3 linked regions of the Mus musculus genome follow. The protein of the gene in region 2 purifies or fractionates together with the protein of the main gene of each other region. This does not show direct contact. Links are inferred from orthologs where the notes say so. Each region holds a gene or a part of one and is shown on either strand. Other genes may lie near its edges.

Region 1 (11,062 bases), on a different chromosome or scaffold from region 2:
GCTTGTGGGCGGGGCTGTAGGCACAGAACTGAAGGAATCTAGAGCTAAGGTTGGGGCTTTAGCTCAGTTAGGACACACAAAGGGTTGGATACCCAGCACCGCACAGAGTGGGTGTGATGGCACAGAACTTACCCCAGCAAGTAGGGAGAGGCTGAGGCAGGAGGATCAAGGCGAACCTTGGCTACAATCTGAGGTTAGCTTGGGATACCTGAGACTGTACTTTTTTTTTTAATAATAATAATAGTAATAAAGGAACTAGATTGCTAAGGTGGGACATGTCTATAGTATTCTCAGCAGTCAGGAGCCTGAGGCAGGAGGATTGAAAGTCTAAGGACAGCCTGGGTTACATCTCAGGGTCCTTGTTTCAAAAAATAGCCAGAGTCAGGAATGGTGACAAACACCTTCAATCCCCCGTACTCGGGAGGCAGAGGCAGAAGAATCTCTGTGAGTTCGAGGCCAGCCTGGTCTACAGAACTCCAGGACCATCAGAGCTATAGAGTGAGACCCTGTCCCCCCAAAACAAAATAAATAAGTGAAGACTCTAAAAATAAATAATAGCTGGGCGGTGGTGGCGCACGACTTTAATCCCAGCACTCTGGAGGCAGAGGCAGGCGGATTTCTGAGTTTGAGGCCAGCCTGGTCTACAGAGTGAGTTCCAGGACTGCCAAGACTACACAGAGAAGCCCTGTCTCGAAAAACGAGAAAAAAAAAAACCATATGGTGGGACAGATAAATGAAAAGACTCAGTCTCTAAGAGCAGAGCCAATGTTGAAGCAAAAAAGGCCATGGGAGCTGCTTCCTATTTCTAGGCCCTGCTCTTCTGGATCCTTACCATATATCCCTATGACCCTGAACATGGACAGACCCCTCACCTACCCCTACCCCAGTGCCTGTGGCCTTTACTGGGTACCTTGACCAGTGGCCACTGGTTTGGCTGGTTGAGCAGTTTCACAATGGCCGGGATTCCATAGTTGAGGCGCACAGAGTTCTGGGCCATCTCAGCCTCGGGGTGACGGCTGGTAAGGTGGCGCAGGGCACAGACAGCGGGCTCTGTGATGTCATCTTTGTCTCCGGCTCTCAGGATGGCGTGGATGAGCGCCTCCACGCCACTGTTCTGTGTCACCAGCGTCTTGTTTTTGCTGTTGTTGCAGGTCAGGTTGGAGAGGGTGCCCGTGGCACAGGTGAGGACGTTGACGTCATCTACACTCAGTTGGTTGACCAGGATCTTCAGCACACTCTCCAGGCCCTCCTGAGACAGGAAGCGCATGCAGGGTAAGGGACACGGCCATCTCTATACAGCCTCTCCAATAGGTCCAAGGGGGAATGGACAGGCCGAAGGGCTAGGGCTTGCTTGTATCTAGCTGGGAACCTTGACCTCACAGCCTCCCATGCCCTGAGGGAAGCCCTTAGCAGGAGGCTGAGAAAGGCTGGAGCGCTTCCACAGACCCACAGCTGCAGACCTGCCTCTAAGGCTAGTGTGCTTCATTCCTGCTGGCCGCAGGAGACCTCTGGTCAGGAGGAAGTTAGCAAGGGGAAGTTAGCAAGGGCTTTGGGGTCATAGGCCTCAGCTTTTAGCTACTTTTTACTTTGCTGGGCCTTCTCTGTCACACCAGGGGGTCCGCAAGCTAAATCTACTTAAAAAAAAATCCCTAATTCAAATATCTCTCTTTTCCCAGGGAGAGCTTTATAGGGCTAGCAGTGGCGCAGAAAGGGTCTAGGCCTTGGAGATACACATCACGGGGTCAGAATGACAGCTCTGCCACTTACTAGCTCTGAACACGGGCTCTCTCAACACTGAGCCTGGGTTTCTTCCACGATCAATAGGGCTGCTTGCTCCCCCTCTACATGACGGAGAGCGCATGCCCACGGAGGCCACGCAAAATGCTAGCCCATGGAGGATACTTGCTTGGTGGCATGGTGATGGTTAAGCATGGAGAGGGAAGTCTGGTTGCCTGCCTGTGTATCTGTGCACCATATGTGTGTGCCCGGTGCCCTCAGAGGCCAGAAGAGGACATCAGATGCTCTGTAACCAGAGCCACAGACAAATGCTCTTAACCACTGAGCCATCTCACCAGCCCCTGTAGTACTGGTCCTGTCCCAGAGTCTAGACCCAAACTGTCCCCTTACCTGAACCCCAACTTAAAGATGTCAGCCCACTTCCTCTTCCTCTCCCAAACCCTAAGCAGGACGAAAGCCCCCTACTAAATAAAGGTGTGACAGCCATCTGGAACTTTTCAGCCTTAGCCATGAAGGAGGAGGGCTCACAGGTCCCAGAGGTCATCTGCCCAGGTGGAAGGCTGGCATGGTTTAAGAGACTGGCCCAGGTCCAGACTCCTGTCTCACCTGCTTGGTGGCTACATCCGAGAGATTGCGCAGAGTCCACAGGCAGTTCTGCACCAGGCGGGGACTGTTGCTTGTCAAGTGCTTGCCCAGAGCCTGCATCCCACCTGGGGAGGGGACAGGAGCCTTGTCAGCTCCAAGGGAGCCAGATTGACAGGGCAGAGACCCTACCCTGAGTCTCCTAACCTTAGAGGTCACTCTTTTTTGTTTGTTTGTTTGTTTGTTTGTTTGTTTGTTTTGGTCTTTCCAGACAGGGTTGCTCTGTGTAGCCCTGGCTGTCTGGAACTCACTCTGTAGACCAGGCTGGCCTCGAACTCAGAAATCCGCCTGCCTCTGCCTCCCAAGTGCTGGGACTAAAGGCATGTGCCACCACTACCAGGCTCTGTTTTTATTTTTAAAGATCATTATTACTTGTGTGTGTGTGTCGGGGCGGGGGGGGGGGGGATGGAGTGGTAGGTGGAGGGGGGTTGTGTAGTACCCAGAAAAGGGCATCAGACCATCCCAATTTTTTTTTTTAAGATTTATTTATTTATAGCCAAGCATGGTGGCACATGCCTTTAATCCCAGCACTCGGGAGGCAGAGGCAGGTGGATTTCTGAGTTCGAGGCCAGCCTGATCTACAAAGTGAGTTCCAGGACAGCCAGGGCTATACAGAGAAACCCTGTCTTGAAAAAAAAAAAAAAGAAGATTTATTTATTTATTGTTATATATAAGTATACTGTAGCTGTCTTCAGACACACCAGAAGAGGGCATCAGATGTCATTACAGATGTTTGTAAGCCACCATGTGGTTGCTGGGATTTGAACTCTGGACCTCTGGAAGAGCAGTCATTGCTCTTAACCACTAAGCCATCTCTCCAGCCCCAGCCCCTCCCAATTTGAGCTACAGACAGTTGTAAGTCACCAGATGTGGATATTGGGAACCAAACTTAGGTCCTCTGGAAAACTAGCAAGAGCTCTTAAGGTTTGAGAACTTAAACTACCCTTGGGTTCCCCCACAAGCCACCTTGTGGTTCTCACACTCACCAGCCTCCACGATGGCGGGCTTGTTGCTAGGACACACGGAGAGCACCTTGAGCACACGGCTGGTGGTCCACAGAAGCTTCTCGTAGCTGTAGTTCCTCATGATCTGCACAAGCCCTTGGGGTCCCCCATTGGCCAGGATGATCAGCTGTCGGGGGTTGGGGGGGGGGGAGAGAAAGACTGAGTGTCAGACAGAAGGCATGGAGGGGTGGGGGGATGAAGAAGCTGTCTTTATGAAGCTTCTGCTAAGCTGTAAATGCTTTTGAGACTATCAAGCCAACAAACTCGGGGGTTTGGGGGGTGAGGACGATGATATCAAATGCTGGCAAGGATGTAGCAAAGGAAAGCTAGTCACAGCCACTACCACTGACAGTGATGAACTGTAGTCCTTTTGGAAAGAGAGCTAACCCACGGAGTAAGTCTAGACGTGCTTAAAAGTAAATAAATAAAAATCAAAAGACCTTTTGAGCTCTGCCAGGTCTGGTGTTGCACACCAGCAGTTGGGAGACCGAGACAAGAAGATGTAGGATTCCAGGTTAGCCCGGGTTAGTTAGAACCTGTCTAAAATACACAGGGGGCTGGAGACGGCTCAGGAGTTAGGAGCACTGGTGGCTTTTCCAGAGAACCTAGGTTGGATTCCCAGCACCCATATGGTGGCTTATAACAATCGGTAATTTCAGTTCTAGGGGATCTATTACCCTTTTCTGGCCTCCAAGCCATCTTTCCACCCTTCCCTCTTTTTTTTTTTTTTTTTTTTTGGTTTTTCGAGACAGGGTTTCTCTGTGTAGCCTTGGCTGTCCTGGAACTCACTTTGTAGACCAGGCTGGCCTCGAACTCAGAAATCCGCCTGCATCTGCCTCCCAAGTGCTGGGATTAAAGGCATGCGCCACCACCCCCGACCCCTTCCCTCTTTTCATCTCTAAGGACTGAATCCAATGACACTCAGCATCATTCTATTCTATCACTGAGTTATACCCTGATCCCTAATTCTTTTCTCATCCTTAAATCATTAGTTCTGAAGAATTCAGAACTAGGGTAAGACACACATTCATCTGTGTAGACACATCAATATGCCTTTCCGGAAGTGGCCAGAAGCCACTACGATGCTGCTGTAGGCTTTGGTGGAGGGACCCACCTTGCTCTCCTGGTTGCCATAGGCCAGGAGCTGCAGGCAGTCAGTAGTGATGGCCAGGAACTTAGGGTTGTTCTTGTTGAGTAGGGGCACCATCTTCTGCAGCCCGTCTGCCAGACGCACCGCCATCTTGGCGCCCTCCTGATAGAGCAGCAGGTTGTGCAGTGTGGTGATGGCGTAGAACAGGACAGATTCTACGGGGGAACTGAGGAACAGAGAGGACCTGTGTGAGCCAGTTGCCGGAATGTGGGTCTGGAAGGAGTCCCTGCTACATCCAGAGAGCTCACCCTAAATCAACACCCCCCATGCAAATATACCCTTACCAAAATCTCATCCTTCCTTAAGCACAAAGCTTTTTAAATTTTGCTCATGTGTGTGTGTGTGTGTGTGTGTGTGTGTGTGTGTGTGTATGTGAATGAACGTGTATGGAGGCCAGAAGACAAACTCAGGTGTGTACCTTAGGAACACAGTCCCCTTCTTTAGACACAGGCTCTCTTACTGGCCTGGCACCCATTAGGCTAAACTGGTCAGCCAGCAAGCCCCAGGGATGCTTCTGGTTTCTGCTTCCCCACTGCCAGTAAAGCGCTTTATGGCATCTAGCATATTCATGTGGGTGCTGGAGAGGTAAACAAACACTCTATTGACTGAGCCAACCCCCAGACCCAATCCCACCCTTCCTTTCTTTTTTCTTTTTGGACACAGGTTCTCACTATGGAGCCCTGGCTATCCTAGAACTCTCTGTATAGATCAGGTTGGCCTGGAACTCATAGACATCTGCATGTCTCTCGACCTCTTGAGGGCTGGGATTAAAGGAGAGCCCCACTATGCCCAGCCAGCCCCACTCTTAAAGACATTGGCACACAGTGCATCTTCTCTCTACTCTCGCATCTGAGGTTCCGCACGGTGCTAATTACATGCTAGGTCCCTGGGCAGCTGAGTCACTACTGTGTGTAAGGTCATACAGGAGAAGCTGTGGGAGAGGATAAGAGGGGAGTGAAATCAACTTCTACCCTCAAAGAACTCCCATTTACATCAGTACCAGGCCACGGGGTGAGGAGGAAGCACAACTGGGGGGGGGGGGGTCAGCCATGCTGTTCTCTCCTGCTAGGATAGCCTGCCCCTCATCTACTCTGACCAAGTATACTCAGTTGTCAAAGCTCCACCCCCAGAGTTGTCAAAGCTCCACCCCCAGAGTTGTCAAAGCTCCACCCCCAGAGTTGTCAAAGCTCTGCCTTTGGACACTCTCAACCATTCTTTGTAACAACTTGTATTGGAAGCCCAGGAAACGGGATGCTGGGAGGCCCCTGGCTCCCATGCAGCCGAGAAACAAGTACCTGAGCATTCGGACTAGGGCAGGGATGCCTCCAGACTTGAATATGGCGAGCAAGCCCTCTCGGTGGTGAGAGAGGTTGTGCAGGATGCTGGTGGTACACCGGGCAGTATCCAGGTCACTGGTGTTCTGCATAGTCCGCACCACCGCCGCCACCAGCTGGGGCGAGCCCATTAGAGCCCGGCGGGATGCCTCCTTCTTGGACAGCTGGTTCACGATCATAGCCGCCTTGGTCACCACTACCTGGAGGAAGTGTGTGAGACCTTGAGCAGATAGCCTCAGGCTCCTCCTCCACAGAGGGAAGGAAGGCAAAGGCCGTGGCATCCTTAGATGACCCCTCCCTCTGAGGACAGCCAGCTCCATCCCACCCCACCTCCAGGCCCTTCACAGACCGGGTCCTCATCGTTGAGCAGCTTGGTGAGCTCAGGCAGAGCCCGGGTGGCCAGCTCTGCATCATCCTGGTAGTTGATGAGATGGACGATGGCCGACTTGAGCAACTGGGATGGTTCGGCCAGGCGCTGCAGATTGGTTGTCTGCCCCTCCACCTGGGTGGCCAGCAGTAGAGAACTGTCCTCGCCTGAGACCCCTGGACACATGGCCTCCCGCACCCGCTTGGCTCTGGCCGTTGTGGACATCTGGTATTCCAGGTCACCTGAAAGCCAAATGACATAGGACTGAGCTACAGGAGATTTTACTGGGACCCTGAAGAGCAAGGCAAGCCTTGAAGGTGTGGCTCCAAGCTCCCTCATGTTTCTCCAAAGTACAGGGCATCACTCATGATTCTGAACCTAACCAGGGTCTTAGGGGACCATCATCGCCCTTGTCTGTATCATCCCATTGAGAGCATGAGGCCCTCCTAGCTCATCCAACTCTATGACAACCAAGATCATGATTTGATTTTAAAAGACTCATGTCTGACACCTATCATTACAAAAATGTCTGCAGCAGAATATGTATTTATTGAAGTACAGTTCTAGGAAGTAAACGTAGGGCCACATATTTGTTCAGCAAGCACTTTACCACTGAGCTATATTTCCAGTCTTTAAAAAAAGAATTAGGGGCTGGAGGAATGGTTCTGCCATTAAGAGCACATACTGCTCCTGCAGAGGACACAGGGTCCATTCCTAGCACCTACGTGGTGGCTCCCAGCCATATCTAACTCCAGTTCCAGGAGGTTCTGGCACCTTCTTCTTGCCACCATAAGCACTGCACCCACTTGGTATATATACATAACATACATGCCGGCACACACTCACACACTTAAAAAAATTAAAACTACTTTAAGTTTCCCAAGTTGGCTTTAAACTTACTTCGTACTCAGGTAGATCTTGTACTTATAATCCTCCTGCCTCAGCCTACCAAGAAACTGGGACATCATATACTTCTGCTACGATGGCCAGCTCAGCGGCTTTGGCTGGATGAATGCTTGCCTAACACGGTTCTGCTCCCAGCAATGAATAAAAGCAGGCATGGTGGCACACTTGTGCAATTACACTCTTCCAGAGGTGGCAGCAAGGGGATCAGAAATCGAGGGGCATCCTTGGCTACACAGTGAGTTTAAGACAGCCTAGTCTACATGAGACTGTCTCAAAAACAAAACCAGGGGCTGGAGAGGTGGCTCAGGAGCTTAGGGTACTGCAGTTTTATCATGAGGATCAGAGTTCCAATCCCTGCACCCACATCAGGTAGCTCACAAACAATGTAACTCCAGCTCTAAAGGCTCCAAAGGACACCTTCTGGTCTCCAGGGGTCCCCGTGCACATATGTGCACATAGACACACACACAGAAATGACAGACAAAAAGAAATACCTAATGGTGGAGTGCCTGTGTGCCTGACAGTGTGCTAAGCACCTTATTTCATCTGTCAACAATAATCTCACAAGGCAAGTACAATACTATCTCCAGCTTTCAGGACACTGGACACGGAGGTCCTAAAAACAGTGGACTCAGGAGCCCAGAGCCCCGCTGTTCCTCCTGTAACCAGCAGGGCAGCCCAGTCACAAGATTAGACAAGCTAAACTTCCTTAGTCTAACTACACAACTCATCCTCCATAGAGTAGCAACTCTCTCCCTGAACAGGGGGCCGAAAGAAGTCCCCGAGCACCAGCCAAGACCACATAGCCAATCAAGAGACAGGACAGGAGGCTGGCTTTGAGAAGGCAGGAGCAAGAATCCTCAAGGGAAACCCTGGGTTCTCCCTCTGGGTAGGCTGGGGCTATTCAAAGAAAAAGTCCCATATAGCCCTGCTATGGCCAACGCCCTAATGCCCTAGTAGAGAGGGCAGGAACAAGGTCATTCTCTAACTAATGGGGAAGGAGAGGCTGCCTACAGGACTCTCCCACCTATACACTTTCCTTTAGCTCCTAGGAGTACACTGGCCCAGCCAGGCACAGAGAGGTTCCAAGGAAGGAGACCTGGGACACAGAGGCTCAGTTCATAGAGCCCTCACCAGCCACAACTCATCCTGCAACTGTCCAGGCCCCAAATCTCATCCCCTGGAACATTTAGGGCCCTGGGGGCATCTGCGAATGACAGTCCTAAAGCCATGTGCACCTTTGTCCCAGAAAGGAAGGGAACATCTGGACTGGTAGAGTATTGGCCTTTGTGACAGGAACCTGTAACTGAATCAGTTTCCCCAGGCCCGTCCTCAGTACATCTGTATGTCATGTGCTAGCCCAGTCTAAGCTTGAACCCTGGGTGTGTGTGGGTGTGTGGGGGAGTATCCCCTGTCTCTCTCATCAGACATGAGGTTCCTGGAGTGAAAAGAATACCTTCCCAGTAATCTCAGATCTTGCCAGCCCCCACCCGGAGGGGTATCAATAAAGTCACCTTAGTACACTCCTGAGATCCCAGAAGCTAAAAACTTTGGGCTCCAATAGCACCCTGGGTCAGTGCCTAGGCCTCCCTACACGTTCAGAATTCACCCGGGTGACTTCTGTATCTATCTCTGGGTTGCCACATGTCCCCTTCAGACTTCCCGTGTCCTCAAGAGTGGACACTGTGAAGCCAGGCGTGGTGGTGGTGCATTCCAGCCTTCGGGAGGCGGAGGCAGGCAGATCTCTGTGAGTTCAAAACCAGCCTGATCTACAGAGGTGTTCCAGGGCTACACAGAGAACCCCTGTCTCGGAAAACCCAAAAGAAAAAAAAAAAAAAACCCTGGGGTCCAGACCTTGGTTCTGTGGCACCCCTTGTGTATAGGTGGTAGTCTTCTTGAGTGTGTACTGTCTGCCGCAGGCATCATCCTCATCCATGATGCCCTTGCTGCTTACAGAGGGCACACAGGTATTGACGCCGGAGTGGATGCCCGAGTCGTAGGTGTATGTCTGTTGCCACTCTGTCACCTTGATGGGCTGCTCAATAAGGTTCATCACCTCCATGGTGGCTGCTGAAGACAAAAAGACAGGAGCACAACATCAGCAGGCTAGGGAGACACCATTACCCCCAGTTTCAACTCAGCTATAGCTGAGATCTACCCTTCTCCTGGAGCCCTACCATAGCCTCAAGGGCCTCAGAGGGTTGCAGACAGCAAGGTGCAGGTGTGAAGCGAAAGGGCACCCAGCCCAGAAGACGGCCTGGGGCACAGTAGGGCTGCAGTAAGGTCATTAAGGATAAGCTCCATGGTTTTTGCGTTCTCTAGCTCTGGTGTGGAGACAGGAAACAGCCAGATCCCTCCAGCCTAGCACAGGCTCACTCACCAGCTGCCCCCACCCACCATTTCCAGTAGAAAAGGAACTAAGGGTTTCAGAGGGCTGCTGAGCTCTGTAGACCTGCCCTCGCTCCACTGGAGTCCCCTGGGAAAGGCTGCAGAGGCTGTAGCACACCGTCAGCCATTGGATGAGAGACTGGGTGGGGCAGGGAAGCTGTCCGACAGGTTTCTCTGGGACGCCCAGGGCTCCCTCAGAGTTCCTGAATCTCATATTCCAGGAGGTCAAGCTAAACCAGGGCTTCCTCTCCTCCAGCTCCCAGCCTTCTGAGCTCTATAGACCTGTTCAAATCTTGGCAAACTACTCCCTTAAGAATCTACCTCTCGTTGGGTGCCAGGGGCTTCAAACTCACGGTCCACCATGCTCAACTGAATGCTGTGAGAATAGTGCTTAGGAAGGACTCGCTATGGTGACAGCACTTAGTAGGTGTTCACTGTTGGGGACCAGGTTGTTGCTATCCTAACTGCCTCACCCCTAGGGTGTTCATTCATCGTCCACTTCCCGGAACTCGGGCTAGCAGCACGGAGTGGGACAGGCCCTCTGGGGTGGTCACTGCTGTTGAGGACTTTCACCTTGCTCTGAGGGCTTGGGGCCACTTTAAGGCCCATGGGCATCTGCACCTACTTGATGTGGGTTCCTCATTTGGTCTGTTTGGCACCACCGTCATGGGCACTGACCCTATTGCAACCACCACCACCTACATACAGACAGTCATGGAGAGAGATCTACTATGTGCTCACACCCTTCACACGTGCCTCCAGACCCCTCACCAATGCCACCAGCCTCACACATGGGTTTCAGAGCTTTGCTCCCCAGTTTATAGATGTGGAAACTGGCTAGAAATGGAACTAGAGAAGGGACCAGGCATAAGCAAGCTTGATGCTAAAGTCTTCTGCCTCTATACTCCAATACTGCAATACTGCCTCAGAGAATGAACAGAGCCCACTCATAAAACGGGGTGGTGCCCAGCATCTCTCAAACAGGTTGTTCCACCATGATGGGGGACCTGCAAAAATTAGGGTGGGGCAGCTGGTGTACTGAGAGGCGCCACCCAGGAACAAAAAGAATCAGGGGCCTCTTCCCAGTGACAGCCCCGGCCCCACCTTTCAGAGCATGACGACAGAGGGGCATGGTAGAACACGCCTGTCATGCCAGTACCGGGCAGACTGGGATAGAAGGTTCACCAGTGGGAGACCAGCTACAAAAGGAGACACTGTTTCAAAGAGGGGGAAAAAAAAAAACCCCGGAAAGGTTGATGAATGTTCTCCCAGCCATTCTTGGGACGCACAGCCCCTCCCCTGCCACACGCAGCAGTCCTAAAACAGACAGAGGCAGGAGCAGCACCAGTGTTCAGCTGCCACCTTCCTCCCTTCCCGCCATCCCATCCCGGCTGACTCAGAGTTTCGTTTGGGGTTGATAAACAGCAGCAGGCCCAGGCTACCGACAGCAGGCTCTGTGCCACCAGATGTGCACAGCTGCTCCCAGACACTTGCCTGGAGTAGCTATTTTAGAATACTGCCTCACCACCCTACC
Region 2 (11,062 bases):
AAAAGCATAGGGTACAAGGTCTATAAATACAAGCGCAGCAAGAGCTTTCACTCTGCAGAGGACCTGAGACTGCAGAAAACTGATGAAAGCACCCAGATAAATTTATCTAGGGTTCAAGATCTTCTCTGTGAAAGGTGAACCAAGAAACCATTTCTAAATTGAGTCAAACCTAGAGAAATACACAGTTAGTTTGTAGATTTCGCAACAGTACTTTATACATCAAGAGACATAGTATCCATAGGCAGGAAAAGAGTAAAAGATTCTGGTGTCCTGTGTTTACTCTGCAGTCTCTGACCAAATGGCTAGAATTGAGTTTTTCAGAGCTTGACTGTGACCTTTTTAGTAAGTACCTCATTCAGAAGGCTCTCGCTCTGTTCTGCCCCCTTTTATTCTGCAGTGCAAACCAATACCATACATGTGGAAGGGGCTTAAAGATCTCGATCTCTGCCTGGAAAGATAGCTCACCCAGAATTCTTCTAGGACAGTGATTTCACCTCTTTATAATTACAAACCCAGAGACAGCATACCATGCCCTACATTGCACAGTTATCTCTCACTAATCATCTTATGGCTTTAAATCCTTTTGAAAAGCAATGAATACAGATTTAAAACTACCATGGGGCTCAGAAACTAACTCAGAAGCTGAAATGTATATTTTTCAAAAAGAAAAGACTATTTTTTTAAGATTCTCAACACCGGGTGCGGGAATAGATTACCTCCAGCATTGTAATGATCTTAAGGAGTTGCTGAATTAAATCATTTAGACATTTGCTGAAGAGTCTTGGAGTCTTCTAACATGCCAGTGAGGATTTGCAGAATGCATCACTTGAGCACAGAAACATATGTCATCACTTTTCAGTCCCAGAATCCAGATGTACTTGAAGCCCTGCCATCCTGCCACTGACTCTTTTAAGATAGGGTTTTATATGTCACAGATTGGCCTAGAGCCCCTTGGGCTGGCTAGGCAACCATTCTGAGGAAAACCTTCAACATCCCCTCCTACCACTTCTGCCTAGTGGGTGCTATGGTTACAGGTAGTCACAAGCAAACTAGTTAAAGCAGTACTGGGGAATCAAACACAGGGCTTTTTACATGCTGGACAAACTCTTTACCAACTGTATAACATCTGCATAACATCTGCAACCCAAACTTAATACTTGTTTTCAAGAACTCCTTCAAACTAGGAATGTATATGAAGCTTTTTTTATTCTTCTTCTGAGGTCTGTTTCATAGATAGATCAAAGCTAGATGGTGCTGAATCATTTAGTAACTATATTTGTAGTTGCTAAATTTTATAGGAAAAGTGGGGAGGAGGGAGGTGATGCTAAAAACCCCAAAAGTGACTAAAAACCCCAAAAGGGCAGTCAGTGAATCTAGTTTGTTCATACCCAGGTCTCCAATGCATTTGAGTCCCAGAGCCTCAAGCAATGTGCCTTGCATTGAATAAGTAAAAAGGATGAGGGAGAATTCTTTGGCTTCTCAACCACGGGGGCTGCAGTAACTAATACCTATTGCTGGCTTACACCAGCAATGGCTAAACTCCTTCCTCAAGTTCCAAATCCATCAGTGGCTCTTGTTTCTTACCCGCATGTGGTTTTTATTGTAAGGTCTACGTAAAAGTAAAACCCACATATGCCACAGAGCATCCTCCTAGCTGATCAGAAAAAGGATTGTCTGCATCCCTGCAGAACCCTTACAGTGTCCAAGTTTCCTGTTCCTCACACTGCACTGGCCACAACCAGGTCTGACAGCAGGGCGGAGCAAGTAGAATGGGTCTCTAGAGAGGCTCTGTGGCATCATGGGTGTGTGCTCCCCTGGGAATTACTAAGGACAGCAACTGAATCTGCCACATAAAGGAGACAGGGATCCTGGGAACATGTAGGTTGTGGTTCTCAGTCTGCAGAGCAGCACTGCAGCTTATTCTAAAAATAAGGTAAGGAAAGTCTCGTCCAGAATTATTTTTGTTTTACATATTGAAGTGGTTTACTGAACTCTTTTTAAATTTTTACTTAACAGCCCTTTCTGGGGTGGAAATAGTATAACATGATATGAGGGAAAGTTATGCTTAATTATACATGGTTAGGATTGTTGGTAAGAAATTCTTGGCAGGGGGAGGGTTGGTAGGCTTTGGCTCTGTTTTTTGATGGGAGTCTAGCAGCTGCTATTTTATTTCTTAAAATAACATGGCTTAACTTTTATTTCAAATGTCATTGAAGGAAATTTTTTCTTTAAAACTAACTATTAAAATATTAACTGGTGCTCACTGAGTTTTTCTGTGGCTAACACGGTTGAACACTTGTACCCAGTATCTCTTTGGGCTTGTTACAGTCTCACATAAGTAAATACTAGGGGCTCAAGGTGAATTCTGTGAATGCTGAGATGTTGATTCAGATCCAGTCTGAGAAACATTACAGCGTACTGATGCGGATCTTAACTTTCATGAGTCTTCTTTATTCCTCATCTATAAACTAGAGACCATGCCCATTAAAAAACAAATTTCATCTGAGATTATTTTTTCTTTTCTGGATGCTGTGCCAAAATACCCTGAGAGAAGCAGTTCAAGGAAGAGTGGGCTTATTCAGGCTCAAAGTTTGCAGGTGTAGCTAATAGCTGTATGGAAGACAAGGGAGCATGGGCTTCAAGTAGTTGGTCTACCACATTCAATCAGCTGAGAGAGGAACATGTGCATGCTACTCTATACAATCCCAGGTCTCTTTTAGGGAATGATGCCACCCATGGTAGACGTGCCTTCCTACCTCAGTTAATGTAATCAATGTAATTTCCACACAGACATGCCTAGCGTATCATCTTCCAGCTGATTCTAGGTTCTGTCAAGTTGACAATGAACTCTAGCCATCACACATATACAAGTTAATATGTACTCAAAAATAAGCATATGGATTGAATAAATTGATCTCTCAAGGAAGACAATCTATGACACATTTCCACATCTTAGATAAAAGGAGACAGCAATAGGCCCGTCAGCCTCTACTGATCCAAAGGTGTAAGAGGACAGTGATTGTTTGAGAAGTGTTATTGCTATGTTGTGGAGAGGAGCTCTAGAATGGAATTGAGAAAATTCCCAAAGGGCCTAAGGCTGCTTTTGGAATACTTTATGGTACATAATTAATCATTAGCTGTAGATATTCAATTACATATTTAAAAGCACCTGTTTCCAGAAATTAGGAATGTAGATGCTAATTGCCTACTTATTTTTGTGTTCTTTATTTTTAAGGCTCATATACATATAATTTCATTTTAGAGCGACAAAATTCATCCCATCCCCAGTATTTATATCACATACAAGGATGGGGTCATGACTTTTCTTTGGCCTTTGAAAGTTAGAAGCCACTTTTTATTGACAAAAATATCTTAAATTTTTCATTATATATGATCGGTATGCAAGGTAGTGTTTTATATACAAATATATATTATGCATTGGGAATATTCGTTCCATGCCCCCTTACCCGCAACTTTTCCCATCTCTCCTTTCCTATCATACCGTAAATGCATTTACAACACACATCCATTTTTGTATAAAAGCATGAAGTGTAAGAACTCTAACCAACCAAGCACGCATTTGTCTTTCTGAGGCTTAATTTGGATCTACTGTGCTATAAACAGCATACTTTATCCTATCTTTTCAAATAGGAACTTTTCACACCATATAAATTAACTCCATATTCTAGGTTCCATTAAAAAGGTAGGTAATTTAATGTGACTGTCTATGTAGTATCACGCCTGACCTGTCATCACTTGTCCTTTGATAGTCTTCCAAAATTAGGTCACTGTCACTTCCTGCGTGGATTCAGAGTCTTCCTGCTCATAGAAGATTTTGTTTTTCAGTTCCCTGACACTCACCTAGTTTTCGTAGTTCTGGTACTTCTCATTGCCTTCCGGGTAAACTATATTCTTTTGTTTTTGGTTTTTGGTTTTTCAAGACAGGGTTTCTCTGTGTAGCCCTGGCTGTCCTGGAACTCACTCTGTAGACAAGGCTGGCCTTGAACTCAGAAATCAGCCTGCCTCTGCCTCCCAAGTGCTGGGATTAAAGGCGTGTGCCACCACTGCCTGGCTGGTAAACTACATTCTTAATGGGCAGATGACCATGAACCACTTGGTCCTGATATATATGTCCTACTCTTTGCTACACATGTAGTTTGTATTTAAGTTCTTTTTTTCTCCCCCCTGAGACAGGGTTTCTCTATATAGCCCTGGCTGTCCTGGCATTTACTTTGTTGACCAGGCTGGCCTCTGCTTCCCCAGTGCTGGAATGAAGGCATGTACCACCACGCCCAGCTCTGCATTTAAGTTCTTAATTGCTAAAATTCCTATCAGGGTCCGTGCCTCACATAGACCTTTGTGTTTGTTTCATATGCTCTGATCTACTGGTAAATTAAATTCATTAAATCACCCTTTCAAAACTGCTCTTATCCCACAGACTTTTAGTCATGTTTATTCTGTGTTCTACCAAGGAAAGTATTGTTCATCTTCACGGATTGAATGATTTTGCTGTTTTCATCGTAATTACCATGTTAAAATTTAGCTTGCATTTCCATGAGTACATTCTCTTATCCTAGCCATCGGGCTCCATATAGCATGTCAGTTAAGATGCTCTTTTATCAGCTACAAACAAATGACCCTTTCTTCTGTTTGTCATACATGTACCCCAACTAGTCGCCAACCTCATTCTATGCCATGGCCATCCTTAGGATTGTTTCCTTGGAAAAGATAATTGTATGACTTCAAAGCCCCACTCACCACCACACCTTTATTTTCCTCTGTGCTGACATTTGCTGTGAACTTGCCAGTGGTAATCTATGAGCAAGTTGTGGTCTCAGTCTCTGGAACCCTCTTGTAACTCATTCATGTCTCTCCTAACCCAGGGCCTTAAAGCTGCTGACAACGACCCCACGGCGCCACCGTATGACTCCCTCTTAGTCTTTGACTACGAGGGCAGCGGCTCCACGGCTGGCTCCTTGAGCTCCCTCAACTCCTCCAGTAGCGGTGGGGACCAGGACTATGACTACCTGAATGACTGGGGACCCCGCTTCAAGAAACTGGCGGACATGTACGGCGGTGGTGACGACTGAACGGCAGGACGGACTTGGCTTTTGGACAAGTATGAACAGTTTCACCTGATATTCCCAAAAAAAAGCATACAGAAGCTAGGCTTTAACTCTGTAGTCCACTAGCACCGTGCTTGCTGGAGGCTTTGGCGTAGGCTGCGAACCAGTTTGGGCTCCCAGGGAATATCAGTGATCCAATACTGTCTGGAAAACACCGAGCTCAGCTACACTTGAATTTTACAGTAAAGAAGCACTGGGATTTATGTGCCTTTTTGTACCTTTTTCAGATTGGAATTAGTTTTCTGTTTAAGGCTTTAATGGTACTGATTTCTGAAATGATAAGGAAAAGACAAAATATTTTGTGGCGGGAGCAGAAAGTTAAATGTGATACGCTTCAACCCACTTTTGTTACAATGCATTTGCTTTTGTTAAGATACAGAACGAAACAACCAGATTAAAAAAAATTAACTCATGGAGTGATTTTGTTACCTTTGGGGTGGGGGGGATGAGACCACAAGATAGGAAAATGTACATTACTTCTAGTTTTAGACTTTAGATTTTTTTTTTTCACTAAAATCTTAAAACTTACGCAGCTGGTTGCAGATAAAGGGAGTTTTCATATCACCAATTTGTAGCAAAATTGAATTTTTTCATAAACTAGAATGTTAGACACATTTTGGTCTTAATCCATGTACACTTTTTTATTTTCTGTATTTTTTCCACCTCGCTGTAAAAATGGTGTGTGTACATAATGTTTTATCAGCATAGACTATGGAGGAGTGCAGAGAACTCGGAACATGTGTATGTATTATTTGGACTTTGGATTCAGGTTTTTTGCATGTTAATATCTTTCGTTATGGGTAAAGTATTTACAAAACAAAGTGACATTTGATTCAACTGTTGAGCTGTAGTTAGAATACTCAATTTTTAATTTTTTAATTTTTTTTAAATTTTTTTATTTTCTTTTTGTTTGTTTCGTTTTGGGGAGGGGTAAAAGTTCTTAGCACAAGTGTTTTACATAATTTGTACCAAAAAAATTACACACAAAAAAAAAAAAAGAAAAGAAAAGAAAAGTGAAAGGGGTGGCCTGGTACTGGCAGCACTAGCAAGTGTGTGTTTTTAAAAAACAAAACAAACAAACAAAAAAATAAATAAAAAGAGGAAAAAGAAAAAAAAAAAAGCTTTTAAACTGGAGAGACTTCTGAAACAGCTTTGCGTCTGTGTTGTGTACCAGAATACAAACAATACACCTCTGACCCCAGCGTTCTGAATAAAAAGCTAATTTTGGATCTGGTGACTGGTTTGAACTTTTTCCTTTCTCTTCTGGAGCTGCACTGCTTGTTGCAGAAACCCCAAGAGCTAGTCAGCCCTTGGGAGCAGCAGCCTCAGTGTGTGTGTTTGTCCTCAGCTTGCCCTCAGCCCCTTCCTACGGAAACGCCTAGTATGGCAACCACGTATTCCAAACCACTGCCACGTGACAGATCACCATCGGCACAGAAGAAAGACACCAGTTGTCTTGAAAAGGAACTTAGTAGCAACAGTATAAAAAGGATGTCATAAACTGCACTGAACACCATGAAATTGCTAGCTCTCCTTTTGTTTCCACCCAAGCTTGTGGCTTTGCTGAGGTGGGGGCTGGGTGTGGCTTTGGGAGCAGCAATGGACGCCGGCTGGTTCTCCTGTACTTCAGGGGAGTCTTTCTATGTCCTCAGTAAAGCATGCTCAGGCTTATCTCCTGACTCTAGTTCAATTTTTGTTTTAGAGATGTGTGTAGTATGTGCCACAATGAAGAACAAAGAGAGAAAAACAGGCTAAGTTTTATAAAACTGTTTATGTCTCTTACTGTGATTCATAATTGAATTTTTATGAGAATTGAGAGAATACTCACTATTTTTCTATTTGCATTCATAGGCATCACACCATATATTCATATACTTTAGACTTTAGAAAACATACAACATACCCTTCAATAATTCCATTATTTTCTTCCCAACATAAAGGTTGTTGTATATACTTAGTAAAATTTGTTTTTCTGTTGACTAACTCAGTGGGCAGTTCTTTGTTGTTACTGCTCTGACCTATAGATGCTAGGACTCTGGATTTCCGAAACAAAAACCTACTAAATTGGAACAGATTTGCTTAAAATGGATTCATAGATTATGCCCCCATGCTGTTTGTACATTTAAAATGAAAACTGAACTGACTTTCAAGTTCAAACATGAAATTTCTATCAAGTAGATATTTTTAAGTGATCTGAGTATAGTGGTACACATCTACAATTCCAGCATTTGGAGGCAAAGGCAAGAGGGTCATCACGCGTTAGAGACCACCTTGCTCTGAAAAGCAAGTTCCAAGCCAGGCAAGGCTATATAGCAAGAGCATGCCTCACACACACACACACACACACACACACACATTTTCAAAACTTTAATTTTTACAGATACTATCCACTGCTATTGTTCCTTTATAAAAACATTTCTAAAACAGATTTCAGAAAACCAGTAAAGAGTAGATGGTCTCATTTGGCCACAAATGGATTTTCTATTCAACTGGTCATAATTCATGGTTCTTTTTATCCAAATAATTTTATACACATTTGCATATAGATTTTATATCAATTTATATTCATAAAAATAAGGTTACATATTATATATTTTTCTGTGACTTTCCTGTGTCACAAGACTATATCTTGGATGCTTTTCCATATTACTATATATATTTCCATATTTTATATATATATATATATATATGTATATATATATATATATATATATATACTTCTACTTCATCCTTTTTAACTGCTACATAGAATTCCATAATATGGACTTAATAGGGTTTTTTATTGAATCATTTCTTAATTTGTTTCCTTTTTCATGATTAAAAATGATTCCACAGTAAACACTCTCGTGCAAGCCTCTGCATGTGGGAGTATTTTTCCAAATTAGAAGCTTGGAGATGGAATTACATGATTCAAGAAACCAGAGTGAAGTTAATTAAACATAGCTAAAATTATAAATGTTTGGTATTGCTTCAACGAGCCTTTTAGCTAAAAGAAGCAGCTTTGTAAAACCAGCTACAGAATGCAAGCTGGTCTAAGCAAGACCTTATTCTCTTTTCTGTGCAAAATACCCATAAAGTCAAGCCCTGGAATAGCTTCAGGTGTTCTGCAAAATGGCTTACATATGTAATTAATAAAGCCCACGAATCTACTCCCCCTTACTCGCAGCAGTTTGGATGTAATGCACATTAAAGGTTTGCCGGGAGGGGACTTGTGAATTGGCCTTTGCTTCCAAGGCACCCTGAACCCTTATGTGGAAGAATATTCACTCAACAATCATTCTCTCACTTCAACACATACAGTACGTGTGCACATAGTACTACTACCACTACCACCAATAATAATAATAATAATAATAATAATAATAATAATAATAATAATAGAAGTTTGCCATTCAGATGGGCACCATGAGGTTCCTCCTGAAGATCTCTCTCTTTATGTGTAAAGTATCTATGTTGCCTCAAGTCTGTTTTCTTTCCCCTATGGACTTTATCATTTTTGCCCCGACTAATAAGAAAGAGTTTGTCACAAGCTTTTTTTTTTTTTCCTGGTAGTTTGCTAGTCTTCTGAATTCACTGCAGTGTTTTTGTAGCACAGCAGTTTTTCATATTTTTTTTAGGATCCGCTATATTTCAAAAGTAGATTTCTGTGATTTTTTTCTCTCCCAATTTAGCACTTTCCTCCATCTTGATCCATAATGTTGAAAGTCAGCCTCTGAACAGAATGTCGAATGTAAGGTCTGATTTCCAGTCATTATTTGTTAAACATTTCAACCTTGACCCAGTCATGTGACACGGAATCTTTACCTATACATTTCTCGTGTATATAATGACTTCTTGGTCTTTTATTCTGTTTAGTTGGGTCATTGATTTTTCTGTTTGGTGCTATCCTGTCATTTAGATAAGCCATTTCCCATGATGGTCTCATCAATAAAGATTTTCTATTATTTATTTTTCTGCATTTTCCTTGTTCATGAGTTTCAGAAATATTTTGTCAAGTACGACAACAAATTGTATTTCATCTTTTACTGAGTTGTAGAAAATTAATAATGTCGCTTCCCGTCCAGTTCTCCATATTTTCATACTATAGGGACTTACTAAACATCTAAATTGTGTGCTTTATTTTGTGCTTTTTATTATTAGGAAAGGACTTTCCTTCACACTGCAATCTCTACTCCCCTGCTTCTCTTACGGGTCTCTCTCAGGTTGGCTGACTTTGATCTCGCTGATTTCTGCCTTAGGTTACCTTTCTACAAGGGTTTTAATATACTCTGAAAACTCTCTTCTTTATTCCTAACAGAGAAAAATGGCAAGACTTATTCCATTCTTAAGACTAATAGTTGGACCTTCCCCTACACTGTTGTGGTAATAATCATACTGATTGTTCTTTTCTATAGTTGGAACACCATATTTCACATTATACATAACGTTTATTATAGATCGTAACTGAGCTTCTGAATTTTATAAACGGTTTCTTTTGTTACATAGATGACTAGTAATGCATTAATTTGCTGAATTATGTTATTACTCTTAGATGCTATAGTCTTGACTCTAACTCTTCCTGGCATGAGCTCAGCCTGTCATGTCTTTCTTTTAACGGACTACTGTGTTTGCCATTATTTTACTTAAGAGCCTCAATACACACTGTTCTATGCCTCTCTGATTCTCATGATTCTTGCTAAGTTTTAGTCACAGATTTATACTAGTCTAAAATAAATAGTTTGGTAAAAAATTTTCCATATGCCCCAGAATGTTTTATATAAATATTTTTTATCTTTTCATTAAAAAATCGCTAATCTCTAATTTTACCTTTATTGGGTCAGGTTTTCTCAGTGATGATATTTCTCAGTAGTTCGGGTGTTAGGCTACTTTTTGACCAATTTCAACAATTTACATTCTTTTACTGCCATACCTGATTTGCTTAACTTAAAAAAGGAAAAAAAAAACTGACATAAAATTGCAGCCTGTATTATCTTTTACCTGTCTGCCCCATTCCTTAAGGTCTGTTGTTTTGTTTTGTTTTGTTTTGTTTTGTTTTGTTTTGTTTTGTTCTCATTTCTCTTCTCACACTCCTTTGCTTTTCTATTCACTTTAATAGCCCATGGTTGATTTTACTGAGCTGGTGGTTGCTCCTGCCTATAATCCTAGCACTTGGGAGGCTACATCAGGGGGATTGTCATAAATATGTCGACATAAATGTGTGAAATACGGAAAGAGACCCTGTCTCAAAAACAACTGCCTCCATTAACAACTTATTGTGGTGGGCCGTTTTGTGTGTGTGTGTGTGTGTGTGTGTGTGTGTGTGTGTGGTGTTGTTCTTGTTGTTGTTGTTGTTTTAATTGAACAGTATGGAGGTTTGTTCATTTGAGTATTTGTGTATGACCTGTCTCAGCCTATTAATTTGTTTTATGACTAGTATTTTAATTGATTTTGTTTATTCCTATGGCTTTATAAGTGTTCCCTCTCTGCTTTAGATTGGAGTATTTCCAGGGCAGAGGGAAATATACCTAAAACCATAGCATTATCATTTTACCAATGGAAGGTGCCTTTCTGAGTGACATTCAGGGTTTTTATGAATTTCACTTCGGTTGATATCAATGTAAGCATGCCTGTTTTCTTTCTCTGAGTGTTCTGTTTATTGTTGGTTTGTTTTTAACAAAGGCGTAACTCAGCTCATCTCTTCTGTGGTGAGAACTGCTGGTGGGATGTGGTAAAACAGTTAAAGTCACTGCTATCTACAGAATGATAGTAAGACTCTGGATCAGCAACAACAAAAATCCACAGTAAAAATAAAGCTCTGATAACTTTTTTTTTCCAGTTTAGTAAACAAAACAAAACTATTAAATGCCATTTTCCAATAGGCAATATGATAGCTGATTGGCAACATCAGCCTTGACAGTCTTGGAAATCAGGGGCCTCTAATCCTGTGTTTAGAATGT
Region 3 (10,292 bases), on a different chromosome or scaffold from region 2:
AGATCATCCGCTGCATCCCAGCCTGGGAAGAGGTCGTGATCACAGAAGTAGAACCCTTGGGTACCATGCGGCTCAAACAAGTATCGCAGGCCTGATCAGATCAGCATGATTGGCAAAGAGTAGGCACACAGCAACCTCCTTCCTCAGGACCATCTTAGGGGTGACTGGAGGACATACCATGGGGGAGTAAGACACTTGGTTCCCCTCATCATCCAAAACCAACACATCCAACTCTTCCTCCAAAGATTCCTGCCCCTCGTCCTGCTGTGAACACATGCAATTTGTTAGTAAGAGAACCAAGGTAAGACTTTCTAAGTGTGTGCCAGATGGAAGGGAAATCCCAACATCTGTAAAGTGAACAAACCCTGTTAAGAGTACAGGGCAAACATCCTAAACAGGTAAGTGCAAGAGCAGGGAGATGTCCTCGAGAGCAGGTTAGTTAGTGTCAGTGACGTCAGCAACGCTTGCAAAATCCATCCACACAACCAATGAGCAACATCCCAAGAACCATCAAGATGCATCAAAGAAAACCTACCAAAAAGATTTGTCTTTTTCTTCCCGCCGCCTCCCATTTTATATATCATACAGTTTCAAAATAGTATTAGCCTCATACACAGCAATACATAACAAGGATTTACCATCAAGGGTGCTCCCTTCAATGGTTCCATATCACCCAGATCCCCAGATCGGTCCAGTGTTCTGTTGTGGTCTCCTCTCTCATTCAGTGTGGAATAGTTGTTATCTAGAGGAAGAAAGTACACAGAAATAAGACATTCCTTCTAGTATACAATGTATGTGAATATGTGAATTAGATTGTGAAATGAACTGTTTTAGATGCACCAACAAGATATTAAACACTGGTGCTTTTTAACACTTACACATAACTTGAGTATAATGGGAAAGATGGTGTATGAGAAATACCCAATACTGGGGATGTACTTCAGTGGTAGAGTGGTTAGTCTAGATTCAATTCCCACCACTGCAAAAACAACAAAGCAATAACAACAAGAAACAACAGTGTATCCCTTGGTGAGTGACACTAAAGAGACCTGGCCTACAAAAGAGATACAGCCCTGAAATTGAGAGAAGACAGAGAAATATGTTAACAATTGAAAGAAACTGATAAAGCAAAACACAACTTGAGTTTAGGTTTTGGGAATGAAAAGAATTTAGAAGAACAAAGGGGAAGGATATTCCCATAGAAGGCTTCATATACCCAAGTAGAATGATGAGATAGAATAGCAAATAGGAAGGAGGAACAAGAATTTGAGGTCATCCTCGGCTAACCTGGGCTATGAAATCCTGCTTAAAAAAAAAAAAAAGACCAGTAGAGAGTAAAGAGAAAAAACAAAGAGAGTTAGGGCTATACTAGTTATATGCCACATGAGACTTTCTGAGAACATATGTGGGAAGAAGAGGATCTATCAAGAATTCAAGGTCAGGGGGCTAGAGTGATGATAGTTCAGCACACTTGTTGCTACTGCAAGGGCCTGGATCAACTCCCATCACTCACTTGGTGGTTCATAACCAGCCCTAACTCCAGTTCTATGGGTTCTGACGTTTGAAAGCATGAGCCACCTGGTAAACACACATACATGCAGGCAAAAAAAAATCCCACTCGTACATACAGAATAAAATAAATTGGCTAGGCATGATAGTGTCCCAACACAGGGGAGGCAGAAATAGGTATATCCCTGTGAGTTTAAGGCCAGTCTGATCTACAAAGCAAGTTTCAGGACAGCCATGAATACACAGAAAGACCTGTCTCAAAAAAGAAAAAGGTTTTAAAAAGTTTTTTAAGTTCAAGATTGTCCCCTCCACAGCAACATGTGAAAATGTAGAAAAAGAGTAGACTGATCAAATTGTATTATAGTTTCAGATATCCTTTTTAAATGAGATAATCAATCACTTCAGGATGATAAATGGTAAGTCAGGTATGGTGGAGCATATCTATCATATCAGCACTTGGGAAGTAGAGGCAGGAGGATCAGGAGTTCAAGATCAGACTCAAGTGTAGTGAGTTCAAGACCTGACTATGTGACCTGAGACCCTGGAGAGAGAGAGAGAGAGATAGAGAGAGAGAGAGAGAGAGGGAGAGGGAGAGAGAGAATATATTCCTACTCACCCCAATTAAACACTATTCTGCAACATTAGACAGGAATTCACCACCTACCTAATGATTTTGTGTTTGACCCCATATTGCTCATTGGAATTTCTTCCCGGTCAGGTTTCTTATCTATATGGAATTAGAAAGTTACCCAAGTCAAAATCCAATACACCAGAATCTATATAAAGTAGACATTTCTTTTGGGAGTGCCATCTTTCCTTGCCTTTATTCAATAAAGTTTTACTCAGCACATAGTATGTGCCAAGACTAATCACAACCTACAGTTCTAGGAAAGCCCTTGCAGAATTCTGACCCCTTCCTATAGACACCCAAATACAAGAAACCTTTCAGAGGCATTTGTCAAGCCTGATGGCCGAATGGATCCCTGGGAACAACCTGTGGAAGACACTGAGCCCTTCAAGTTTCCCTCTGACCTCCACTTATGTACCTTCACACCCAAACAAAATAAAGAATAAGGGCGGGGGGGGGGGGGGACGGGGACGGGGACGACAACGACTTTAACAATATGGGCCATTACATCTCAAAGCCCCTTTAATCTTAAAAATTATAAGGGTCTAGCTAAAGATATAGTTCAACAGTAAATAAAGCATTTGCCTCGTCCTCAATCACACACATATGAAATAAATGAGGATGCAAATGACTTTCACTGGCATGGAATGAGCAGATATTACTATATTCAGAAATGTAAACATCTATTCCACATCAGAATTATTTTTTTGCATAATCATAAATGCCTTCAATTTAAAAAGCACTGTATGTGGGCTGGTAAGGTGGCTAAGGGGCTCAAGCACTTGCTGCACAAGCCTGGCAGTCTGAGTCTGAACCCAGAAGTCAGGTATAACTGCAAGAACAACCTCCCCTCGAAGGCCACAGTGTGTGTGCCCACAACACACATCATATACAATAATAAATGTTAATGAAAAAACAAACCTGAGGTGGGGAGCACTGTTGAACACTTTTATATATCACTTTTAACTCTGGGTTACTAAAACAGACTGAAGTAGAGCATAGTCTCATAATTTTAGCACTTAGAAGGCAGAAACACTACAAGTTCCTGCTCCGGGCAACCATGGTAAGACTTTGCATCAAGAAACCCACAAAAAATAGACGGGTTGAGTAACATTTACTTGTGCAGATTTTTGAAATATTATGGCACTGTCTCCCTGAGAGATAACAGTTTACAGAACTATGCAAATGTAAAATTGAACACATATTATTATGTATGTGTATTTTAAAAATACATTTATATCACCACTTATATAATCATAAAAGCCTGAGAAATTATATTATTATACTGTGTGTGTGTGTGTGTGTGTGTGTGTGTGCGCGCGCGCACGGGCATGAATGTGCATGTAGGAGGGAGAGGGGGGGGAGGGAGGGAGGGAGGGAGGGAGAGAGTGAGTGTATGTGTCCATCCACAGCATAACATGAATACAGAGGTCTGAAGACCACTTTCAGGGGTCAGTTCTCTCTCATCAATGGAACTCAGGCTCCTGTCAGGCTCAGTAGCAAGTGAACTTACTTGCTGAGCCACTTGATAGCCCTAAAGAAAGTCCTTTAAGTAGTGGGAAGTTACTAAGCTCTGAAACATGGGTATGATTTTCTGGGCTGTACTTTTCTCCTTTGGGATCTTGGGGGCAGGGTCTTATTCTACAGCTCAAGCTGGCCTAGAACCCCTATGTAGTCCATGCTGGCTTTAAATGAAGGGCAATCTTCCTGCCTTAGCCTTCCAAGTGCTGGGATGAATCACCACACTCAGCCAAAATTGTTTTTTTGGTTTTGTTTTGTTTTGTTTGTTTGTTTTTCGAGACAGGGTTTCTCTGTGTAGCCCTGGCTGTCCTGGAACTCACTCTGTAGACCAGGCTGGCCTCGAACTCAGAAATCCGCCTGCCTCTGCCTCCCAAGTGCTGGGATTAAAGGCGTGTGCCACCATGCCCAGCTCCAAAATTGTATTTTTTACTCAGGTAGAAAATAGTATCAGTTTTTTCACCAAAGTGATAAAAGTTTTTGTGTTTATTTTTGAGGAAATGCTTGCCAAATAATATGTTGAAATAATCACCACTTGTGTATCAGCTGCTTCATAAGGAAAAGTAGCACTCTATAAAAACAGCAGTCTAACTAGTAATGTCAATAGTCTAACCCGAGACAGCCACAGTGGCTCCCTACACAGCACCAGAGCTCCGAATTTCATCCATAGCAGTACACATCAAATAACGTGTACTTAGGGGTAGAAATATAACGTTTATAGCTCCAACCAGGATGCTCCTAAGTGGAGGTAACTTTCTAACTGTAGAATAGATGGGAATAAAAACGACTTGTTCAGAATAGCGTCACCTCATCTATGTTGGGCCGCCAGCAGCAAGCACTGCTGCTATGCCTTTGGCACATAAGTCTAAGAATCTTGGGGCCCTCACACCACGCTCCAAAAGCCATGGGTGGAATCAAAAGCCAAAAGCCTTATCTTAAGATAAGAAAGGTTACAGTATATACTTTTAGTGAAATAGAAAAAAATATATAATACTAAATATGTAATTCATCCATGATAAAGCAGTTTAAAAAGCTCTCCCTCAGGGACACAGAAAACTTGCCTAGAAAGCCTGGGTTCAAGCCCCAGTACCACACGAACACAAACACAATCACACACACACAGTATAGCAGTGGGTTGTTTTCTTGGGACTAGAAATAATGGACTTTATGGTTGTCAATGGTTTTTATTTTTTCCAACTAGAAAAGCACTAATAATTAGCCAGGCACATTAGTCATTAGAATGGAAATTTAAGAGAGGAAGAGATTAAACAGAAAACTGATTCACTCTCCAGGAACTTGAAGCTCACAGGCAAATTAAAGGAGCTGCACTCAGGTTACTAACTGTCTTGATTTTGGTTTTGTTTTCCCTTGAGCCAGGGTGTCGTGTAGCCAATGCTGGCCTTGCCTTACTACTGATCCTCCTTCCCCAATTCAGAGTGCTAGCTGGGATTACAAGTGTGCACCACCACACCCCTTACTGCTTTGTTAGATTCCTAAATTCAAACCTATTCTCTTACACATTATAACTATGATGTAAAACATTATTCCCCTACTCTGTGTCCAGCTTATTTAGAATAAATGCATGTCCTATTCTTAGTTAGTAAGCCATTAAAGAATTCCAGGAGCACTAAACAGAGAAGGCTGCACCGCTTGGCAACAATACCTGATTTTTGATTCCGGTCAATGAGGGGGAGAGTGCTATCATCATATGAATGGCTGCTCTGGCTTCTAGATGCATTGTTTAGATTCACCTGGAGACAAACATAAAACCCAGTGTCATAGAAACCTGAAGATGCCCACTTCTTCCTGGCCCCTCCTCCTAACCATGCACCTCCTGCTTCAGAAGCCCTTAAACAGCATGGGTTTCCTTCTCCACGTTCACTACCCAAGCCCTCACTCACACATTCTTCCTAAAGGGTTTAGATGCTAGGTGCCTATTGACAGCGATAACTCCTCAGAAAGAGTCTGAGTCTAGGCAGTAGCACATATCTATAATGCTAGTGGGAGACAGAGGTATAAGGATCAGAGAATGGTAAGTACATGGAAGGATCTGAGAAGATAGGAAGCAAGCTCACAGTGGCCATATATTATCACTATTTACTACCAGCACCATCTACTTACTGTATGTTCAACATTGAGAGAGTAGAACTACTTCAGCAAAAATAAACTGTGAGCACCACTGTACTAAAAAGTAGTGTCTTTACTATCTTGGAAAAGACTTGGACTTAGAAGAAACAGAAGACAGAGGAGTAAAAGAGAAGAAAAGTCAAAGTTTCCGTCAAGAGTTGTTGCACCTGGAAGTCTGATTTCTTCCATCCTTCTTTTTCCAGTGGCTTCCGAAGCTCCTTATAGCCCCAGATTGTCTGCAGGACAAGAGCTGCTGCCCGGACTTCTTTTTCTGAACGATTCCTGTGAAGGAAAGTAACGCCATACAAAGTTTAGTTTTCAGAACAGGGAATTTTAGAACCTATACTCTCTAACAAAGTGGTTCTCAACCTTCCTAATGCTACATATAGTTCCTCACGCTATGGTGACCCGAAACATAAATTTATATTTATTGCTACTTCATAACTTGAAACCCACATGTGAAAACTACTGCTGTAACAGCACAAGGATATAAAAATGTAATCATGGAAGTCAAATTTCACCAAATCCTATACTGTCGGAAACACTGACATAAGTAGTTTGATATAACAATCCATGCCAATTTATAGACAAACATTAAGAATGAAAATAGATCAACACCTCTCCATATGTCACAGGAAGGGGCTGTAATCTCACAGAATGGAAGAGGAAAATTCTTTTCTAAAAACTTTCTTCTTTCATACTCAAATTCTTTTGGCTGTGATTAAGTAAAAGCTCACCCTGATTTGTTGATCAACACCAGCTTCTCAATACCCTGCGTCTCTCGAAGCTTTTTGGCAGCTTCTAAGTTCTCAGCGATAACTTCGTTGATGGTGTTCAATATGGAGACCACAGTATCTTCAGAAAAATTCCAGGAGGAGTTCTGTTGACCTCCTGGCAGATTCTTTACCAAGTTAGGAATAGCATGCTTGCCTACAGCAGTAAAAGAAAAGGTCAGGAGGTGGCTCACAGTACAGTGATAGCAGGAATCAGGCCAAGTGTAAGTTCTAGCCATACAAACCAACTCCATTATCACATGAGATTATCTCAAAGGCGCAAAGAACATGAAACAGCCATAAACTCACTGCCCTTCATCTATTTCCTCAAGTGAACAGAGACAATGCAATGCTGGATATTAAATATACTATCTGGTCTCTTCAGACACACTAGTGAAAACAGTATGTTCAGTATAATCTTATGATAATCTATGAGACATAGCAATTTTTTTTTTAATTTTATTTTTTTGAGACAGGGTTTCTCTGTATAGCCCTGGCTGTCCTGGAACTCACTCTGTAGACCAGGCTGGCCTCGAACTCAGAAATCCGCCTGCCTCTGCCTCCCAACTGCTGGGATTAAGGGTGTGTCCTACCACTGCCCAGTGAGGCATAACATTCTTTATGAATTTTTTAAAAAATCAGTAACTTGGACTCTGCCACTAAGTTACTAGTTTAATTCTGGGCAAATGAAAAAAAAAAAAAAAGTTCTTAACAATGCCTATAGATAGAGAAAGCAGATAGTCAACAAATAATAGTGGTTATAATGTTCTAGAAGAATCATCACTTCTTGCTTTTTTTAAGGTGCACTAAACCGTGAACCTTCAACACTAAGAAACATAAACTATGGAAGACTATAGTATCCTTCTCTTCAGTGATGTCAACAAATGAGTAAACATTTAGTGGAATCCAGACACTGTGCTAGGCACTGGTTCAGATCCTTACCAATTAACTCTTTGTTCCGAGCATCCACAGCCAGATTTCTCAGTGCCCCAGAAGCAGCTTTTACTACTCGCTCATGCTCACTCGTAAGGAGCTCAGCTATGGCAGAGAGAGCCTTCTCCTGACGAAGAGCAGAGCGGATGTATCTGCCATACTAGGAGATAGGAAGCACATTGCAAGCGGTGAAAAAGTTACCGATGGTAGCAAACTACTTATCTACACCCCTATCCCCAAATCCATTTTCTTAGAGGTACTCACTGTCCAACGCCCAGCACACAAGTTCTGGATAGCTCCGGCCGAGGCTTCTAAGATGGCAGGCGTCTTGCTCTCCTTAAGGAGTGAAATGTATATTCGCACCACTTCTGGCTGAAATAAGAGTTCATAGCCTGCACAAGAAAGGGCAAGACAGAAAGCACTAATCAATGCCTACAAACCAAGCTCGGCTGCCTGCACTGCTGCTCCTGCATCACTAGGCACCTCAATTCCCCTATTAAATCATAAGCACATTCAGAGCCTTGATTTCATGTCTCTTTTTTCTTAGGTTTTTGTTTTGTCTTTTAAGACACGGTCTTGCAATGTCAAGCAGACTGGCTTCAAATTCACATCAATCCTCCTGTCTTAATCTCTGAGTAAGGACTACAAGCCTGTACCACCATACCCAGCTGATCCCATGCTTTAAGAATAACTACTCTAGCCCAAAGCAGTGTCATACACTTTCAATCCCAGTACTTTTGAGGCAGAGGCAGGCGGCTCTGTGAGTTTGAAGCCAGCCTGGTCTACAGACAGAATTCCAGGACAACCAGGGTCACAGTGTGGCCCTGTCTCAAAAACAAACAAACAGCAACTAATCCATGGTAAAAAGAGAACAGACATTAACTTAGTCGCATTCAATTCCCCTCTCCTTGACTTGTACCTCATAGCTAACTTTAGACTTGTTTGTACCATAAGCAGCCAGGCTTAATGATTCAACATGTAAAACAAAGTATTTCTAATTTAACCCGGTCATTCTCCCCATCATGAATGTAACTAAATGATAGACAGCCCGAGATTTAACATAATTTAATTAACAACTTTTATATTTATAGGAAGCCAGCAAGTTTATATTCATTAATATCCTGGGTCCAAACATCTAAAGCCTGATAAAGACATGTCTTCTAACAGTCAGGCTCAAGGTCCAAAAAGCTGCAGTGGCCATTCAGAAAGCTAAGTCTCTCTCTTTTCTTTTCTTTTCTTTTCTTTTCTTTTCTTTTTTTTTTTTTTTTTTTTTTTTTTGAGGCATGCTCTCCCTCTGTACCTCCACAAGGCTTTGAACTGGCAGCAATCCTCCTGCCTGCAGTACTAAGGCTACAGGCATGCACCATTATACTCAGCCTAGTTTTGGCTCTAGACTAAATACTGTGACTTTTCCCAACACTTTCACTGTAACCTCAAATCCATTAAGTCAGAGAGAAATGTTAACATAGCGCACAGAACATGTTACCATATCCAAAGTCTCTGGAGAATAAGGAGGGTAGCTTACCTCGAGCAGGACTAGTTCTTTTAGGGAAATCCACTGTATCATTTGCTGGATCCTCTGTAGGCTTTTTCCCTATGAAAATGGAGAAAGGGTGGAGAGAACAGGGGAAATAATTTTTTAAAAAAGGAAAGATTCGACCTGGCAGTTTTTCATCCTTCAGTCAGAATCTTCAGATCAGAGATGCAGCATCAAAAGAGGCAAAAGAAGAGAAACCCCACACATAACTGTCCCAACAGGATGATGCAGAAACAAGGAAGACCAAAACAGGCAGTAGACTGTCCAAAAGGATGACCACTCCTGTGGCTGTTAACTGAGTTCTGATAAAAGGGACTGCTGCCCAGAAACAACATGTAAAACCACAACCCAGAAGATTTAAACTTATTCCAATGCTTTCCCTCAACTAAGTTTTCCTACATGCATCCATGGGGAAGGTTAGACAAAGAGATATTAAGAAAGGTAAGAACCAAACCATGCAAGTTAGGAGACAAGCGCCTTAAAAGATTGCACTCACCTCTGGAGAACCACTCATCTTCCAGTGCATCACCAAGGTGGAAAGCGAGGAGAGAAATGAAGGAAGAAAACGCAGGAGAAAGATGTCAACAGGATCATGGGCAAGTACACAAGAAAGCAGAGAAGGAGGAGGAATAGGGAGGAAGACCCCGGTGTAGCTGAGTTCTTGTCCTTCACTGCCCCAGATGCCAATACACTAACAATCGTCACCATCCTCACACACCACCACCACCACCACCACCACCACCTTACCACCCGTCAAGGCATGTAGAACAAGGGAGGAGCAGCAACAGAGCAAAAGGACACAACTCTACTAGGGAGACTTCCACGCTATTTATTAAATCCCTATAAAGCTAAGTGTTCCTCTTGTCCCATATTAAAGTACTGGAACTAAGCAAAACTCACCTTTGCCCTTCTTGGCTCCAAAGCAACTGGCAGCGTGTGGCCCAGTACTGTTAGCCACAGTAGGAAGGGCCTCCTGGTAACGCTCTGCCTGTGGGATTTCACGATGAACTTGGTATGATAAGTTCCGGAGGAGGCAAACACAATTCTCCACAAGCTTAGGGACATAAAACAAAAAGGTTCAGTTGGAAAAGAGAATGCTTATGATGACTTCCAAGAAAATCCAAGTCTCCATGTTTTGAGTATTAAAAGATCAATCCTAAATGCATAACTCAATCCATCTTCTCTCAGGTTGCCTTGTCAGTACCCCAAGATCCTCAAAATTCTTGTTTCCTTCATGCTAACAGGGTGTCTAATTATAGACATGTAC

Evidence for each region.
Region 1: the proteins of Cdh2 (region 2) and Jup purify together in Homo sapiens (co-immunoprecipitation; 4 studies listed by BioGRID and IntAct, with this or other methods). This does not show direct contact. The link is inferred for Mus musculus from reciprocal best matches to the Homo sapiens genes CDH2 and JUP.
Region 3: the proteins of Cdh2 (region 2) and Ctnnd1 purify together in Homo sapiens (affinity purification with western blotting; 6 studies listed by BioGRID and IntAct, with this or other methods). This does not show direct contact. The link is inferred for Mus musculus from reciprocal best matches to the Homo sapiens genes CDH2 and CTNND1.

The regions. Positions count from the first base shown.
Region 1 is NC_000077.6:100,377,179-100,388,240, forward strand, and holds part of Jup (junction plakoglobin), read right to left. Parts: intron 9,598-11,062; exon of another isoform or gene 9,318-9,597; intron 9,211-9,317; 5' UTR 9,203-9,210; coding exon 8,995-9,202; intron 6,477-8,994; coding exon 6,217-6,476; intron 6,068-6,216; coding exon 5,829-6,067; intron 4,700-5,828; coding exon 4,498-4,699; intron 3,511-4,497; coding exon 3,366-3,510; intron 2,448-3,365; coding exon 2,344-2,447; intron 1,250-2,343; coding exon 911-1,249; intron 1-910. UniProt on the Homo sapiens protein: Common junctional plaque protein. The membrane-associated plaques are architectural elements in an important strategic position to influence the arrangement and function of both the cytoskeleton and the cells within the tissue.
Region 2 is NC_000084.6:16,584,175-16,595,236, reverse strand, and holds the end of Cdh2 (cadherin-2 preproprotein), read left to right. Parts: intron 1-4,883; coding exon 4,884-5,090; 3' UTR 5,091-6,360; downstream 6,361-11,062. UniProt on the Homo sapiens protein: Calcium-dependent cell adhesion protein; preferentially mediates homotypic cell-cell adhesion by dimerization with a CDH2 chain from another cell. Cadherins may thus contribute to the sorting of heterogeneous cell types.
Region 3 is NC_000068.7:84,603,011-84,613,302, forward strand, and holds part of Ctnnd1 (catenin delta-1), read right to left. Parts: intron 10,080-10,292; coding exon 9,926-10,079; intron 9,540-9,925; coding exon 9,522-9,539; intron 9,083-9,521; coding exon 9,014-9,082; intron 7,881-9,013; coding exon 7,753-7,880; intron 7,649-7,752; coding exon 7,498-7,648; intron 6,713-7,497; coding exon 6,520-6,712; intron 6,065-6,519; coding exon 5,950-6,064; intron 5,407-5,949; coding exon 5,319-5,406; intron 2,237-5,318; coding exon 2,174-2,236; intron 743-2,173; coding exon 639-742; intron 265-638; coding exon of another isoform or gene 178-264; intron 1-177. UniProt on the Homo sapiens protein: Key regulator of cell-cell adhesion that associates with and regulates the cell adhesion properties of both C-, E- and N-cadherins, being critical for their surface stability.